3 linked regions of the Saccharomyces cerevisiae S288C genome follow. Changing the gene in region 3 together with the main gene of any one other region gives a genetic interaction. Each region holds a gene or a part of one and is shown on either strand. Other genes may lie near its edges.

Region 1 (5,588 bases), on a different chromosome or scaffold from region 3:
AAGATTGCATCTATGAATGACACTAAAATATGTTTCTCTTTTTGTATTTGCTTTTGATTAAATAATGGTCAATTTGCGCCCCCCACCTTATATAGTTTAGAGAAAGACGTGTAAATATTTTTTAAAAAATTGATACTGCTCTAATGAGCCTAAATCTCCTTTCTTCGCTTGTATATATGCGTATTCTGTATGTTTGTCCAGGCAGATTTTTCGGCTTTTTTTACCAGCTTTTATTATTAAAATGTGATAACCTTAATTGAAGGTTGCGATACAAAATAATCCTTTATTACGCATAACCAAGGAAAAGAGAAAATCAGTGCACATATGGGTTTACCTGAAGTTAACTTTCTTCGAAAAAACTGCATACTTGTGGAGTTAAAATTATTCTATCAAACAGTATACCCACCGAAGGAACTATATTGGAATAACCGAATAACTGCAGAATTGAGTACATTCTCCAATATTAAGTATGCAAGGCCGACTTTCGCAGTAAATAATGGCACATTTCAGAGAACAAGACCGAAATTAGACTTGGTACTGGCTTCATCTGATATTCGTAAGCTGGCTACGGTTTTATTTAATTTAAAAGCTCTCATAATGAATACGAAGGGTGAGGAACCCACTCTAACCACGATGACTAGTGTCCAAACGAACGAAGAGAAAAATGATAACCTGGAACAGAAATATTCAAGTCTGCTAGATAGATGGAATGGGAAAGTAGAAGTGCATGATTCTCCTTTCCTTCAACTCCAACGGGACAGCAACCTTTTGTTTGCTGAGAGGCCGGTACGTTACGTTAGCACTACAGAAGGTGAAGGCGTGGACATATCTAGTGAAGAGTTTTTCAGGTTAGAGGAAGAACAGTGCCGAAGGAATTATGATGTTTTGGTCGATGAACATTCTACACCATCAGTCGGGATGAAAGACGGCCAATACGGACCAAATATAATTCACTTTGAACCGTCGCTGTACCACACATATTCTTCTCTACCAATGAGTATGAAATTTTGGTTAAATGGTCTAGAAGACGACGAAACGACGATGATGAACATTGATGAGAAGTCAGCCGAAAATCTGGATATATTATTACATGGTTTCAAAGGATTTTCGAACAAGCGCGTTAAAGGATGAATTAATCATCCTCTTCATGTACTACTTATGTCCAATTTGAGTGTAAAATCACAGGTACAAGGCTTATCCATATTCGTATATATCTTCATAATGTTTCATAATTGCTTCAGAAAATTATTCAAAACGTCTTGTGATATTCATTAGGTGAAATCGTAGTTTGCCTGATACTTGAAAGAATCTCACCTGGAGAATGGGTGTTTTCACTAAGATTCGTTAATTTCCACTAATGATTAATTGTTAACTGTTTAACGCGACGCGTAATAAAGTTTCCTGAATACGCCAACATATGGGAACATATAGATTAAATTAATAAGAAAGCTTGGGAAAAATAATTGAGAAGGGCAAGAAGTGACGTAAATATACTAGACGTACTATTATGGTTTCAGTTATAGACAAGCTTGTTTTTGACTTTGGTGGGAAAACTCTGGTCTCTCTCGCACCAGATAATAATACTTTGTGTGTAGCCAATAAAAATGGCTTAACCAAGATTCTGAAGACAAATAACCCAGAAGAAGAGCCAGAGACTTTAGATTCTTCCAAATTGGTCTCGTCTATAAAATGCTATTCAAACTCGCACTTTCTGATGACTACAATGCAAGGTGATGCTCTTAGGTATAACATCGATTCTAGTCAAGAAGAATTATTGGCTAGATTTGCTTTACCCCTACGTGACTGCTGTGTTATTCATTCAGGTAAAATGGCCGTATTTGGAGGAGACGACTTAGAACTAATCCTTTTGGAATTGGACGATGAAACACACAAAAAACATGCCATTAAAATCGATGAACAAGTTTCTCAAATTTCTTACAATTCACAGATGAATATTTTAGCAGTTTCAATGATAAATGGTAAGGTACAAATTTTTTCTCTGACATCTACTATTCCAAACAAAGTTCATGAGTTAAATGATTACATAGTGGCCAATTCATATGATGATACACACAGAGATAAGATACTCTCGAATATGATGGATGATATAGATAAAGACAATGATAATGACCTGAGTGAAACGGCTGATCCAGATGAGAACAATGTAGCTGATCCAGAATTCTGTGCTGCTAATAGAATTTGCACGAGAGTGGCTTGGCATCCGAAGGGTCTGCATTTTGCGCTACCATGTGCAGATGATACAGTAAAAATATTCTCTATAAAGGGATATTCCCTACAAAAGACGTTGTCCACAAATCTCTCATCAACAAAGGCTCATTTCATTGATTTGCAATTTGACCCGTTACGTGGAACTTACATTGCGGCAGTAGATTTAAATAATAAGTTAACGGTATGGAATTGGGAAACTTCCGAGATCCACTACACCAGGGAATTCAAAAGAAAAATTACTAATATTGCCTGGAAAATCCAAGCGGACTCAAAAACTCTAGACCTTGTTTTAGGTACCTGGTCCGGTAGTATAGCCATTGTCCAAAATTTGGCAGAGTCCGTAGTATCTAATATACCTGACCAATCTGTTGCTGAATCTTCAACTAAACATGGGCTTTTTGTAGACTCCGAATCTGACTTGGAAAACTTAGAGGGAAATGATGATATAAACAAAAGCGATAAGCTATTTTCAGATATTACTCAAGAAGCGAATGCGGAAGATGTGTTCACTCAAACACACGACGGCCCCAGTGGATTAAGTGAAAAGAGAAAATACAACTTCGAAGATGAAGAAGACTTTATTGATGATGACGATGGTGCTGGTTATATTAGTGGCAAAAAACCACATAATGAACATTCTTATTCGAGAGTACACAAGACTCATTCGTTTCCAATCAGTTTGGCAAACACAGGAAAATTTCGTTATATGCCTTTTTCTCCAGCGGGAACACCTTTTGGCTTTACTGACAGGCGTTATTTGACAATGAATGAAGTGGGCTACGTATCTACTGTCAAGAATAGTGAGCAATACAGCATAACTGTCTCTTTTTTTGATGTTGGACGTTTTAGAGAATACCATTTCGAGGACTTATTTGGCTACGATTTATGCTTCCTAAATGAAAAAGGCACTTTATTTGGCCAATCCAAAACTGGGCAGATACAATATAGGCCACACGATAGCATACATTCAAACTGGACCAAGATTATTCCTTTGCAAGCTGGTGAGAGAATAACAAGTGTGGCAGCCACCCCGGTTCGCGTTATTGTTGGTACATCATTAGGCTATTTCAGAAGTTTCAATCAATTCGGGGTTCCATTTGCTGTTGAAAAGACATCCCCAATTGTAGCGCTTACTGCTCAGAATTATAGGGTTTTTTCAGTACATTATTCGCAGTTTCATGGCCTTTCATACTCTTTATCTGAATTGGGTACTTCTAGTAAAAGGTACTATAAAAGAGAGTGTCCACTTCCAATGAGTTTACCAAACATTAATTCTGATATGAAAAAAGACGCAAATCTTGACTACTACAATTTTAATCCGATGGGCATCAAAAGTTTGTTCTTTTCAAGCTACGGAGATCCATGCATTTTTGGGTCCGACAACACGCTTCTATTGTTATCAAAGTGGAGATCACCAGAAGAAAGTAAATGGCTCCCTATTCTAGATAGCAACATGGAAATATGGAAGATGTCAGGAGGGAAGGAAACGACAGATATACATGTCTGGCCCTTGGCTTTGGCGTATGACACATTGAATTGTATCTTAGTTAAGGGCAAGCATATATGGCCCGAGTTTCCCCTTCCGTTGCCATCCGAAATGGAGATTAGAATGCCAGTATTTGTTAAGAGTAAATTACTAGAGGAAAACAAAGCTATATTAAATAAAAAGAACGAAATTGGAGCTGACACCGAAGCGGAAGAAGGGGAAGAAGACAAAGAAATACAGATTCCTGTTTCTATGGCGGCGGAAGAAGAGTATCTGCGCAGCAAGGTTTTGTCAGAGCTGTTGACAGATACACTCGAAAATGACGGTGAAATGTACGGCAACGAAAATGAGGTATTGGCAGCATTGAACGGTGCATATGATAAGGCTTTGTTACGTTTATTTGCGTCTGCATGCTCAGACCAAAATGTTGAAAAGGCTCTTTCGCTTGCTCATGAATTAAAACAAGATAGAGCACTTACTGCAGCCGTTAAGATATCAGAAAGAGCTGAGCTGCCCTCTCTCGTTAAAAAAATTAATAATATAAGGGAAGCTAGATATGAACAGCAATTGAAATAAAAAAATGTAAAATATATATACGCAAGAGACAATTATTTGATACCTGTTCATTTGTTCAAATCATCGTTCAAAATGCTCCCACATTAACATATATTTCTTTGAATGCGACGATAATAAAGAGTTACGTTGAACATGATCTGAGCTGGAAGCGTCCTTGCGAATTTTCGCGAAAGGAAAAAGTGAAAAAATATGAAAAAAAAAAAAAGAGATGACATTTTATAGATGAGCTTTGATTAAACAGTGTAACACCTGGTCCTGTACCGTAAATATTCAAATAAGCATCAATTCAAAGTTCTTTATTTCTTCTTTAGCATTTCAAAATTATAGAAAATCTAGAAAAGATGTCAGATGTTACCCAACAGAAAAAGAGGAAAAGATCCAAAGGAGAAGTTAATCCATCAAAACCCACAGTAGACGAAGAAATCACAGATCCATCCTCAAACGAAGATGAACAACTAGAAGTTTCGGATGAAGAAGACGCATTGGAATCTGAAGAAGAATTCGAGGGTGAAAATCCAGCCGATAAAAGAAGGAGGCTTGCAAAGCAATATCTGGAGAATCTGAAAAGCGAAGCTAATGACATTTTAACTGATAATAGGAACGCTGAAGAAAAAGATTTAAACAATCTCAAGGAAAGAACAATCGACGAGTACAACAATTTTGATGCTGGAGATTTGGATAAGGATATCATTGCGTCCAGGTTAAAAGAAGACGTTGCTGAACAGCAAGGCCGAGTCTTCAGATATTTTGGCGATAAACTTCTAATATCTGAAGCAAAACAGAGCTTTACCAGGGTAGGGGAAAATAACCTTACTTGCATTAGTTGTTTCCAACCCGTTTTAAACAAATACACCTTCGAGGAATCATCTAATGGCGATAAGAACAAAGGTAGGTTATTTGCCTATACAGTTAGCAAAGACTTACAACTCACCAAATATGACATTACTGACTTTAGCAAAAGACCAAAGAAGCTAAAATACGCTAAAGGAGGAGCAAAATATATACCTACGAGCAAGCACGAATATGAGAATACCACAGAAGGCCATTATGACGAAATCTTAACTGTAGCAGCCTCACCAGATGGTAAATATGTTGTCACAGGTGGAAGAGATAGGAAGTTAATTGTATGGAGCACAGAATCTCTATCACCCGTTAAAGTTATTCCAACAAAGGATCGCCGAGGGGAAGTTTTATCGTTGGCTTTTAGAAAAAATTCTGATCAGTTATATGCATCCTGCGCAGATTTTAAGATAAGAACATATTCAATAAATCAATTTTCCCAGTTGGAGATTCTTTA
Region 2 (5,013 bases), on a different chromosome or scaffold from region 3:
ATCGATCAATTTTATGTCTGGTTTTGTCTTGGAAGATTGGACCAGCACATTTTGAGAGATTTCCTCGTGATATTCCTGTATGGTTTCGTAATGAGTTAGTAGTTCTGCATTGGACAATTCAATTGGGTAATATGTCTGCTTTGCAGTGACAATTAACCCAGTTTTCACTTCTGAGTGGTTCATGATCTTTTTATTTATTTTACAGAAATAGCTAACGAGCAGTGGAGTGGTGGTAGTGCTATTTTATTTAATTGCTATTATTGTTATCGTCGTTAAAATGTATTGTCAGCAAAATTACACTAATTTCTTCTATCCTGGGGAGATGGGATGAATAAATTGACAATAACCAGGAAATAAATTAAAGCGAACGAAGAACTCCTTGGCCAATTTGCTCTTAAGTGTGCATTCAACTAAGAAACTATTGAAGATAAGCATTACCAATTCCAAAATATATTCTTATATAAAAAGAGATACTAAGAAAATATCGAGAGATTAATTGCTGCACTCGCACCGGTACCACTTGGCGCAGGAAAACTGCGGTTTCCACAGGGGACCCACGCTGCCTTTACTCCATTCTCAATCTTGCCTTCTGCAGTATCTTTTTTTTTAATTTTCGAGTCTTCGTCACTTTCGAGTTAGTCTCCCTCCCAGCCTCGACCTGGCACCATTCAGCTCAATCCAGCAAAATCGCCAAAAATGCGTCTCCGATGCTTTCAAGGTTGGAAACTAACTAACGCGGTGCGAGATTCCCTCGAAGAAGTAAAATCGCGAATTCTTCCTTGAACGCGTCTCTTGCAGGCTGAACAAAGAAGTCGCTAGTGGATCGTCACAGAATGAACACGCCCACGAGCGGGATCTGGCTCGAGTTGTCATGAATACTGAAAGTATCAGGCGCGGGGTTGTAGTAGGTAAAGAATTTCTCCAAGAGGTTGTAGGAATGGACTTGTTTACCCCTTTACGCGCGGTGTTTTCGTGGCTTTACCGCATTGGGGTATGTCCCAGAAGAGAGTGTGCGCTATTCGATTTCCTATCAGTGAAGTGTTGCGAACAAGGGAATGCTGTCGAATTAGGAAAACAAAAGTTTATTCATGCAAATTTTGTGGCACGCTACCCTAAGTTCTCGATGATGTTTGGCTGCGTTTAAGTGAGTAATTTACATCCGCCTGTTAGTCCCGTAACATTCTCTTTTATTTTGCTAGGATAATTAGGTTGATGCCACGCACGACAATGTAGCTACGTAAGTTTTTTATGTAAGGGAACGAGACGAAGTGATTGTAGCGCACAAGATCTGGCCTTCTTAATCTAGCTGAGGTAATGTTATTGTTCTTTTCAGCTTTCCCGCTAAGGCTAGAGCCTTCTCGATGTTTTCACCAGCGTTAATCTTGAAGACAAAGCACTGCTTTGTTTTAGTGAGAATATGCGAAAGGACTGAGGGAGCATCATCAAGCTCTCTATTCAGCTGTACCGTGGACATACTACCGATATATATATTCATTGAATGGGACTCTTCATCTTTTCCCAACTTGGTATCTAAAGTTAAAATGTTCATGCATTCTTCATCTTGTGACAGATCTCTAATTTCTGTTGGGTTATCTAATCCAACGTCACTGTGTTTAATACTTCCGTCAAGATGCAAAATGTTCAATGTCATCTTATAATTCTCACCGTACTGCTCAATTAACTGTTTTAGCAAAGTCTTTTTCATTGGTGCTGTGGGTTGCTGCGAAACCACTATAATGCTGCAGTTAATTAACTTGCTGATGTATTTTTCCAGGAACGGAATGCATTCGTTATATAAGCGTTTGTGATCCTTATGGATTTCTTCGAGAACTACTCTATCAAATACTTGTACCCGTTTTTCTCCACTATTCTCGCAAATGCACCGATCCACATAGTTGATATGGAATTCATCAGGCATTTGTCGTTCATTGGCATACGCAAAGCATCGGGTGTATCCTTTGATTTCTTCAATTGAAGTGGCCAGATTTTGTCGTGTGTATAATTCCTGTTGAACCTTTTCTAGTTCATTAACGTACTTCTTCTTCCAATTGTTTGCTTCTCCTTCGACTTGCTTCTTCTCCTCCTGCACTTGCGTCAATGCTTGTGATGTAGAAGCAAGCTTCTTTTTGAGAGGAACAACGGCAAGTTCCATGCTATGGAAGTTCACTTCTGCCTCTCCAATCCTTTTTTCAAAATCGTTAAACTCATCTCTACACGTCTTAATATTTTCTTTCAGTTCACCATGGGTGTCTTGTAGGTCTTTTAAAACTTTCGAAAGTCTTTCTTGCTCCCCATCTAATTCAATTCTAGCATCGTTCTTAACTTTCTTGAATATCTCGAATTTCTTGTCCAATTCTTTTTTGTAGTTTTTACACTCGTTCTCATTTTCATTCTGTAGAATGAATAGTTTCCTATTGACCTCCTCGAATTCTGTTTTAAGCTGTCGCATTTCGTCAGTTAACCTTTCGTCAGGTTTCAAATTTTCTACTTCCATTAATTTATACGTCCACTCCCTTTTGGCATTCGATAGCTCTTCCTCTAAATCGTTTTCGAACTCTTGTACTTTTACTGCATGCATAGACACTATATTTTTTGATGATAGCTCAACATTCTTTCTTTGAAGATCACATTGATTATCCTTCAAGTCCATCTCCGTTGATAGTCCATCAATCTCATTTTGTAGCTCCCTGCACGCTTTGACTTTTGCATCTAATTCTAATGTTATTGCAGGTAGTTCCCTGGCATGAATACGAACAGATTCCTTTTCAATTTCAGAAATAGCATTCAGTAGTGAATCTATGTCTTTTCTAACCTTACGTTCATTGTTCTTAACCCTTTCAATAATCTTGGGGTCCCCCCCAAAGGTTAGTTTCTTAGTATACGTAGCGGAGGTGTCATCAGTGTAGCAGCGCCGTATACCAGATCCAGAGCTGTGCAATATATTTAGCTTGTTGTTATTAGGAGTTAGTATCATATCCATTTCTCTTTTCTGAACCTTCTGTCGTTTTGTCTTTGGAAAGTCTCGAGTGACGTTGTTTGGATCACTATGAAAGGAAAGTTTAGGAATTTTGGAGTTATTCATCCTAATAATAAAGCTTATGTCAACGAGTTTCAAATGCCAAAACAAATATTAAAATAGTGAATAGCTCTTATATATACACGGTCCAACCCTATGGCACAAAATTCACTTATTTAGGCGCTTAATTATAATGTCGTAGTTGTGTTTCAAAGTTGCTTCAGCCAAACGGAAAAGCCGCCTAAATGTGTCGATCAGTGAATGAGCTCAATAACGTGTGGATATCAAAAAATAATACAGTAAAGCCTTATTCTCGGACGATATGCTCAATGGTCAACGACTGACTAGTTTTATTTTGATACGAGCTACGACAGTGGTATCTTTCATATACTAGAATCATATTAGAGAGTAAATAAGAACAAAAATGGTAAACAAACAAATATCACTATGGACGATATTACTGATCACATGACTGTCTAATTTTCAATGAAAGTTAGGAGTGGAGTAGTCGTGCTATATAGGGCAATTACTATTCTTGGAAAAGTGTAAAGCTTTACATTAAGTTGTATAAAACGAATCAACCGCACTCTTTACATTGCTGCATGGCTTACTATGAGTTCCCTATTAATATCATACGAATCTGACTTCAAAACAACCTTAGAACAAGCCAAAGCGAGCTTAGCAGAGGCCCCCTCACAACCGTTATCACAGAGAAATACTACACTGAAGCACGTAGAACAGCAACAAGATGAGTTGTTTGACCTGCTAGATCAGATGGATGTAGAAGTTAATAACAGCATAGGCGATGCCTCAGAACGTGCTACGTACAAGGCGAAGTTAAGAGAATGGAAGAAGACTATACAGAGCGATATCAAACGACCACTGCAATCCTTAGTAGACTCAGGCGATCGTGATAGACTTTTTGGAGATCTTAACGCATCTAATATTGACGATGACCAAAGGCAACAGTTGTTGAGCAACCATGCAATCTTACAGAAATCGGGAGATAGACTAAAAGATGCCAGTAGAATAGCAAATGAAACTGAAGGAATAGGGTCACAAATAATGATGGATTTAAGGTCACAGAGAGAAACTTTGGAAAATGCAAGACAGACCTTGTTTCAAGCGGATTCATATGTGGATAAAAGTATAAAGACACTAAAAACAATGACTAGAAGGCTAGTTGCTAATAAATTCATAAGCTATGCCATTATCGCAGTCCTTATATTATTGATTTTGCTAGTTTTGTTCTCAAAGTTTAAATAAGGTGGGAAAACAAATTCAATAAAAAACCTCTAGAATCTAAAGAACATGTCAAGGAACTATAGAGTTACCTTCACTAGTAATATCAACGCTACCTTACTGATAAAAAACTACTGCAATTAAATATTCTATAGATCAAAATATAGAGGTATATCGTTGGAAATATTTTTCAAACGTACAGATATTGAAGGTTCACCGCAGTTAATCAAGACACATCCTTATTCAACGGACTCATTGGGTCCATTGGGTCTATATCCTCATCTTTAGCCTTGTCAGTTACTTTCATATTTTTCACCTTATCTTTTAGCTTGCCTATAAGCTTGGTTTCAAAGTTGTGACGATCTTCAGGTACCACAGTTTCGTGAATACCTTCCTCTTCATTCATTTCCTCCATCAAATGTCTAGCCTTGTCACTTGAAATGCTGCTTTGTGGTGTCAACCCAGAATGGGTGCCCCCTATCCTATGATGGCGCTTTTCTTCTTCGGTTAAGTCCAAAATGGTGGCAGTGTAGTTTACCAAAGACTTTGCACTCTTACGTCTTGCCATTCTCTTCATTTTGGGACCTTGCTCAGAGCTCTCTGTTGAAGCGGTCGTTGCCACAGATGATCTTGGCGTACGAGGTAGTCTTACACAGGATATACCTACATCACTTATCCATTTGGCCACAAGAGCAGTCCAACCACATTGGTGTGAAGCGCCAAGCCCTCTTCCAGTATCACCGTCAAAGTATTCA
Region 3 (6,011 bases):
TGACACACAATCAATAAGTTTTGAATCTGATAGTAGCAGTGATGTTCAAAAACATTTAGTGTCTTTAGAAGACAATGGTATTCAAATATCAGCAGGAAGATCGGATGAAGATTACGGAGACATTTCTGGTTCTGAATCTGAGACTGATGCAAGTGCAGGGGAAAAGAAGAGCTCCAACCATAGTGAACAATCCGGTAATGATAGGGAACCTTGCTTGCAGACAGAATCGGAAACGGATATAGAAACATAGCCTATTTATGAATGAATGTAATATATGGCAAAGAGTATTATAGTATCGCATCATTTGAGAGAATACTTTATTTAAATGGCAAAAAATAGTTCTATGTGAGTGATCGAAAACTCAACTACTCAGATTGAAAAGAAAATAAATAAAACTAGGTGTTGTATGAACGTGAAAGAAATCGAGAGGGTTTAGAAGTAGTTTAGGGTCATTTTTCAGTACATTGGTTGGCCTGGCTTGAGTTGCAACCAGTGCCAAGCATCAGCGTTGGCCTCTCTCTTGTACATTGGTTGGCCTGGTCTCAAATTTAACCAGTGCCAAGCGTCGGCAACAGCCTCTCTTTTCGCCAAAGTGGTGTTTTGCTCTTTTTCAGCCGCCTCAGCAATAGTGGTGTTGATAAACAATAGCCCACTGGCGGTAGCGTTACTGAATGGTAAAAAAGCTATGTCATGATCACCTCCGAAATCCAAGTATCCAATAATGGCCTCGGCTGGCACCTGAGCGATATCTTCATCGGAACTAGCAGTGACAGAAACGGCCGCTAAAATAAAAGTGAGAAAGGTAGAAATGAATTTCATTTTCTCCAATATGTGAATTTACTGGAATTTGATGCAGGTGATGGTAGTAATTATCCATTATATAGAATATAAAAACAGATATAGGAAGGACACCTCAAACTACACCAGAATCAAGGACAGCTTTTATACATATAAGCCCTCGTCTCTGCGCTGTAAAGACACCAAGTTTCACTAGGTCCACGGCGACTCTGTACTGAAACAACTGAATATTTGAAACAGTAACGATGAATAGTTTGGCTCGATACCTTGAAAACAATCACTACAGGCGTCGCCCAGATGCGCACATCGTTGCTGGCATTGATGTACCAATGAAGAAATATAAGTGACAAACTTTATGAAAAGATAGAAAGAGGTTTACAAGATAAGAGAAAAATTATGCTGTGAAGATTAGTAATCGAAGTAACTGCTTATTCATTCAGTGCATGTTTTTCTAGGAATGCGTTTGATATGGGACATACATCTTACTATGCGACATTACCTTTTAGGGACATCAATGAGCAAGTGAACACTAGCAAATTAGGAAAACAACTTTAGCACGCCCAACTGCGTACTGAAACGCAGAAAACTATAGAGTTTCCCGAAACGGTGACAGCTGAGTTCGCTCAAATAAGAACAACACCATGTCTTGAAGCTTCTTCTATAGCGTAGAGTAAGTAGTGCCTTGTAGCCCTACCGTTTTACAATGCATGAGGTTACCCGCACTTATTATTTTTTTCTCTTTTTTTTTCTTAGCTATAAAAGGCAGATCAATGCAGCATTCATTGCTTTATTTGACTTTCCTTTACTATTTATTTACTTTCCATTTCTTATTTTAGTGTTATTTTATAACAGTAACGCAAATTTAACAGCCATTCGTAACACGTACAGTATCTCGTCGAGGTTGAACCCCTCCGGGGCGTTCTTGACCCATGAAGAATGTGGATTGGTGTTGCAATATATTTATTATTGGCTTGGACTGGAGAACAAATTTATCGATCTTGGGTGCAACAGTCTTTCTGTCGTCTGTTTTTTAGCAGATCTAAGGGTTTACCTTCGTGTGCCCGGATGAGGACCGTTGCAAGGATTGATAATACAACTATATACATCATTATCGTAGTGAATTGCACGAGTAACTTCTCGGCATGGGGTGAGTAAATTCATATTATGAAAGTAATTAAACTTACTACCTAAATAAGAGGATATCTATGTCTTATTGCTTGTATATATGAGTGGCTTGGAATGCTGCAAATACTGTTTAGGAAAAAGTAGATAACTAAAAGGTTTCTCCTTCCTTCGGTTGACGCAATTTCTTGTTCGCTGGGGTTGCCATTTCCTTTCTAAGATCAAGTAATAAAGTTTCCATGGTGTAGGCTCTTTTCCAGTCACGTAAGGTGTGGAAGTCAGTTTGGACCTCCCCCGTAGTTGGATTGACGCATGGTAGATTTATCTTGGAAATGAAAGTGACCTTTGGGGGAGAATCTGGATAGTTTGGGCCACAATCTATAGAAAGGGAATAGATTCTGTTTTCATGATTACTATGAGGGGGCCCTAAAATAGTGCCGTTCCATTTGGTCATGGTAATATCGTCGCTATCAGCTAAACCATAACTACATGATTCTGGACCAAACCCTTTTTCACCCTTTTCTAATTCTTCTAACAACCTAAAATTTCTTGGTCTGATTTACAATAGGACAGTGAGGGTACATTTCAAGAATTTGTTAGTATATGTTGAAATCCCTTTCAAAACTTATAATAACATACACTTTTGACATTTTTGTGTAAACGCTGCTTTCTTCTACGTTGCATATACAGAATAAGAATTTCACCACGACATCGAAATGTAATGAGCAGAGATTGTGTAGGAAGTTGATCTTATTTTAGTCTCTTATTTATCGCTAAAGGAGCAATGAAAATTGATAGCGTGTTACCCTAGGAATAATTCCTAACAATTTTTTCCATCTTAAAATCGAGAGGTAATAGTAAATAATGGATGTGAGAGCGGCATTGCAATGTTTCTTCAGTGCATTGAGTGGACGATTCACTGGAAAAAAATTGGGACTAGAGATCTATTCTATCCAGTACAAAATGAGCAATAGTGGTGGGTCCTCTCCTTTCTTGGAAAGCCCTGGAGGTTCGCCCGACGTAGGCAGTACAAATGGACAAAGTAATCGTCAGATTCAGGCGTTACAATTCAAGCTCAATACTCTACAAAATGAGTATGAGATTGAAAAATTGCAGCTACAAAAACAGACGAATATCTTAGAAAAGAAATATAAGGCCACGATTGACGAATTAGAGAAAGCATTGAATGATACAAAATATCTTTATGAAAGCAATGATAAATTGGAGCAAGAGTTAAAGAGTTTGAAAGAAAGATCAGCTAATTCGATGAATGATAAAGACAAATGCATAGAGGAATTGCGAACAACCCTCCAAAACAAAGATTTAGAAATGGAGACTTTAAGGCAGCAGTATGATTCGAAGTTATCAAAGGTCACTAACCAATGTGACCATTTCAAGTTGGAAGCAGAGAGCTCTCATTCGCTACTGATGAAATATGAGAAAGAAATAAAGAGGCAAAGTGTGGATATCAAAGATTTGCAGCATCAAGTGATGGAAAAGGATGATGAATTATCTTCGGTAAAAGCATCTAAGATGATAAACTCACATCCAAACTACTCCACCGAAGAGTTCAACGAGCTCACTGAAATGAACAAAATGATCCAAGACCAAGTTCAGTATACTAAAGAATTGGAACTAGCGAACATGCAACAAGCCAATGAATTGAAAAAACTTAAACAATCCCAGGACACTTCTACTTTTTGGAAATTAGAAAATGAAAAACTACAAAACAAATTAAGTCAATTACACGTACTCGAAAGTCAATATGAAAATCTTCAATTGGAAAACATAGATCTAAAATCGAAATTAACCAAATGGGAAATTTATAATGATAGTGACGATGATGATGATAACAATGTTAACAACAATGATAATAATAATAATAATAAAAATGATAATAATAATGATAATAATAATGATACAAGTAATAACAACAATATTAATAATAACAACAGAACCAAAAATAACATAAGAAATAACCCTGAAGAGATTATCCGGGACTGGAAACTTACCAAAAAGGAATGTTTAATTTTGACAGATATGAATGATAAGTTAAGATTGGACAATAACAATTTAAAGCTACTGAATGATGAAATGGCTTTAGAGAGAAACCAAATACTAGATTTGAACAAGAATTATGAAAACAACATAGTAAATTTGAAAAGATTAAATCACGAGTTAGAACAACAGAAGAGTTTATCTTTCGAAGAATGTCGATTACTGCGCGAACAATTAGATGGCCTATATTCCGCACAAAATAATGCTTTACTAGAGGTCGAAAATAGTGAAACACATGCGTCAAACAAGAACGTAAACGAAGATATGAATAATTTGATCGATACTTATAAAAATAAGACAGAAGATTTAACAAACGAACTAAAGAAGCTAAACGATCAGTTATTATCAAATTCCAATGATGTAGAAACACAAAGAAAAAAGAGGAAGTTGACAAGTGACCAAATTGGTTTAAATTATTCACAGAGGCTCAACGAATTGCAACTGGAAAATGTAAGTGTCTCGAGGGAGTTGAGTAAAGCACAAACTACAATTCAGCTACTACAAGAAAAATTAGAAAAGTTAACTAAACTAAAGGAGAAAAAAATACGTATACTGCAATTACGTGACGGCCCCTTCATAAAAGATCAATTTATCAAGAAAAACAAATTACTTCTTCTAGAAAAGGAAAATGCAGATTTACTTAACGAATTGAAAAAGAATAATCCAGCAGTGGAAACAGTACCCATTTCTGTTTATGATTCACTAAATTTCGAGTTGAAACAGTTCGAACAGGAAGTTTTTAAGTCAAATAAAAGATTTTCCAGACTAAAGCAAGTTTTCAATAATAAATCTTTGGAGTTTATTGACGTTGTAAACTCATTATTAGGTTTTAAATTGGAATTTCAACAAGATAGTCGTGTGAAAATATTTTCCTGTTTCAAACCTGAAAAATATTTGATTGCTGATCTAAATGAAAACACTTTGAAATCTAACCTTGATGCAGATATAGAAGGATGGGATGATCTCATGAATCTATGGGTGGAAGATAGAGGTCAACTTCCGTGCTTTTTGGCAACAATAACATTGCGTCTGTGGGAACAGCGACAAGCCAAATAAGTGTATATACATTTCTAATAGATAATAGTAATCGGTTTTATAATATGATAAACTCCTATCCGCTGACATAATTGTTGGTCACAAAATTCTTTTATCTTTCTTCATCATTGACCTTTTATGATTCCTTTGGTATGCAAAAAAAAAAAAATTGTGTTGAAGAATAAAAACAAATTACAGAATAAGTCACACATGATATAAAAAGAAGCCCAGTTTTTCATAGCTATTAAGGGGGCATAAATGCACTTATATGAGGGAAGGTGATTCTAATTCAAAAAAATCTGCGGATGTTGCTGTCCTCTCCATCATCCTTACGGGTTCGACCTTAACATTGATCTACACATATAAAAGGTATTTAACTCAATTCAAAAGAACAAATGATATACCGCGAAGAATATTTCGTAAACACTGGCTTTATGGTAAAGTCACGTCTGTAGGTGACGGGGACAACTTTCATTTCTTTCACATGCCAGGTGGTATAAGAGGTGGATGGGGATGGTTACGACCCGTCCCACAAATGATCAAGAATGATTCTACGGCAGAAAAGCTTGTTGGAGATAGCAGAAATATGAGGTTTTTCAATTTCAATTGGATTACGCATGGGAGGTCCACCAAAAGTAAAATACAAAAAGCTAAAAGCCAGTTCTTGAAGCTAAATGTACCTTACAAAAATAGGAAAAACCTGCCAACTATTCCTATAAGATTATGTGGAATCGATGCCCCAGAAAGAGCACATTTCGGTAACCCAGCTCAACCGTTTGGTAATGAAGCTTTAATTTGGTTACAAAACCGAATTTTGGGAAAGAAAGTATGGGTCAAGCCTTTATCTATAGATCAGTACAACCGTTGTGTAGCTCGAGTGTCATACTGGGACTGGTTTGGTGGGTGGAAAGACTTAAGCTTAGAAATGCTCAAGGATGGATTAGCGGTTGTTTATGAGGGTAAAGTAAACACAGAATTTGATGATAGAGAAGATAAGT

What was found.
Region 1: mutations in MAD1 (region 3) and CTF4 together harm fitness more than expected from each alone (negative genetic interaction), as found in Saccharomyces cerevisiae (6 studies listed by BioGRID, with this or other methods).
Region 2: mutations in MAD1 (region 3) and CIK1 together harm fitness more than expected from each alone (negative genetic interaction), as found in Saccharomyces cerevisiae (6 studies listed by BioGRID, with this or other methods).

Annotation. Positions count from the first base shown.
Region 1 is NC_001148.4:797,727-803,314, forward strand, and holds CTF4 (chromatin-binding protein CTF4), read left to right. Parts: upstream 1-1,507; coding exon 1,508-4,291; downstream 4,292-5,588. Other genes in the region: MSS18 (Mss18p), read left to right, coding at 325-1,131; ribosomal RNA-processing protein RRP9, read left to right, coding at 4,633-5,588. UniProt on the Saccharomyces cerevisiae protein: Accessory factor for DNA replication. It plays a role in accurately duplicating the genome in vivo.
Region 2 is NC_001145.3:657,814-662,826, reverse strand, and holds CIK1 (Cik1p), read right to left. Parts: upstream 3,083-5,013; coding exon 1,298-3,082; downstream 1-1,297. Other genes in the region: cyclin CLN1, read right to left, coding at 1-183; v-SNARE protein VTI1, read left to right, coding at 3,629-4,282; YMR196W (uncharacterized protein), read right to left, coding at 4,485-5,013. UniProt on the Saccharomyces cerevisiae protein: Together with the minus end-directed microtubule motor KAR3, involved in spindle midzone assembly, karyogamy (nuclear fusion) during mating, and with an essential function in meiosis I.
Region 3 is NC_001139.9:344,335-350,345, forward strand, and holds MAD1 (coiled-coil domain-containing protein MAD1), read left to right. Parts: upstream 1-2,784; coding exon 2,785-5,034; downstream 5,035-6,011. Other genes in the region: LIF1 (Lif1p), read left to right, coding at 1-250; MF(ALPHA)2 (Mf(Alpha)2p), read right to left, coding at 457-819; YGL088W (uncharacterized protein), read left to right, coding at 1,502-1,867; E2 ubiquitin-conjugating protein MMS2, read right to left, coding at 2,072-2,474, 2,560-2,570; LCL3 (Lcl3p), read left to right, coding at 5,282-6,011. UniProt on the Saccharomyces cerevisiae protein: Central component of the spindle assembly checkpoint. Thought to recruit MAD2 to unattached kinetochores. During checkpoint activity, MAD2 is relayed from the MAD1-MAD2 complex to the mitotic checkpoint complex (MCC).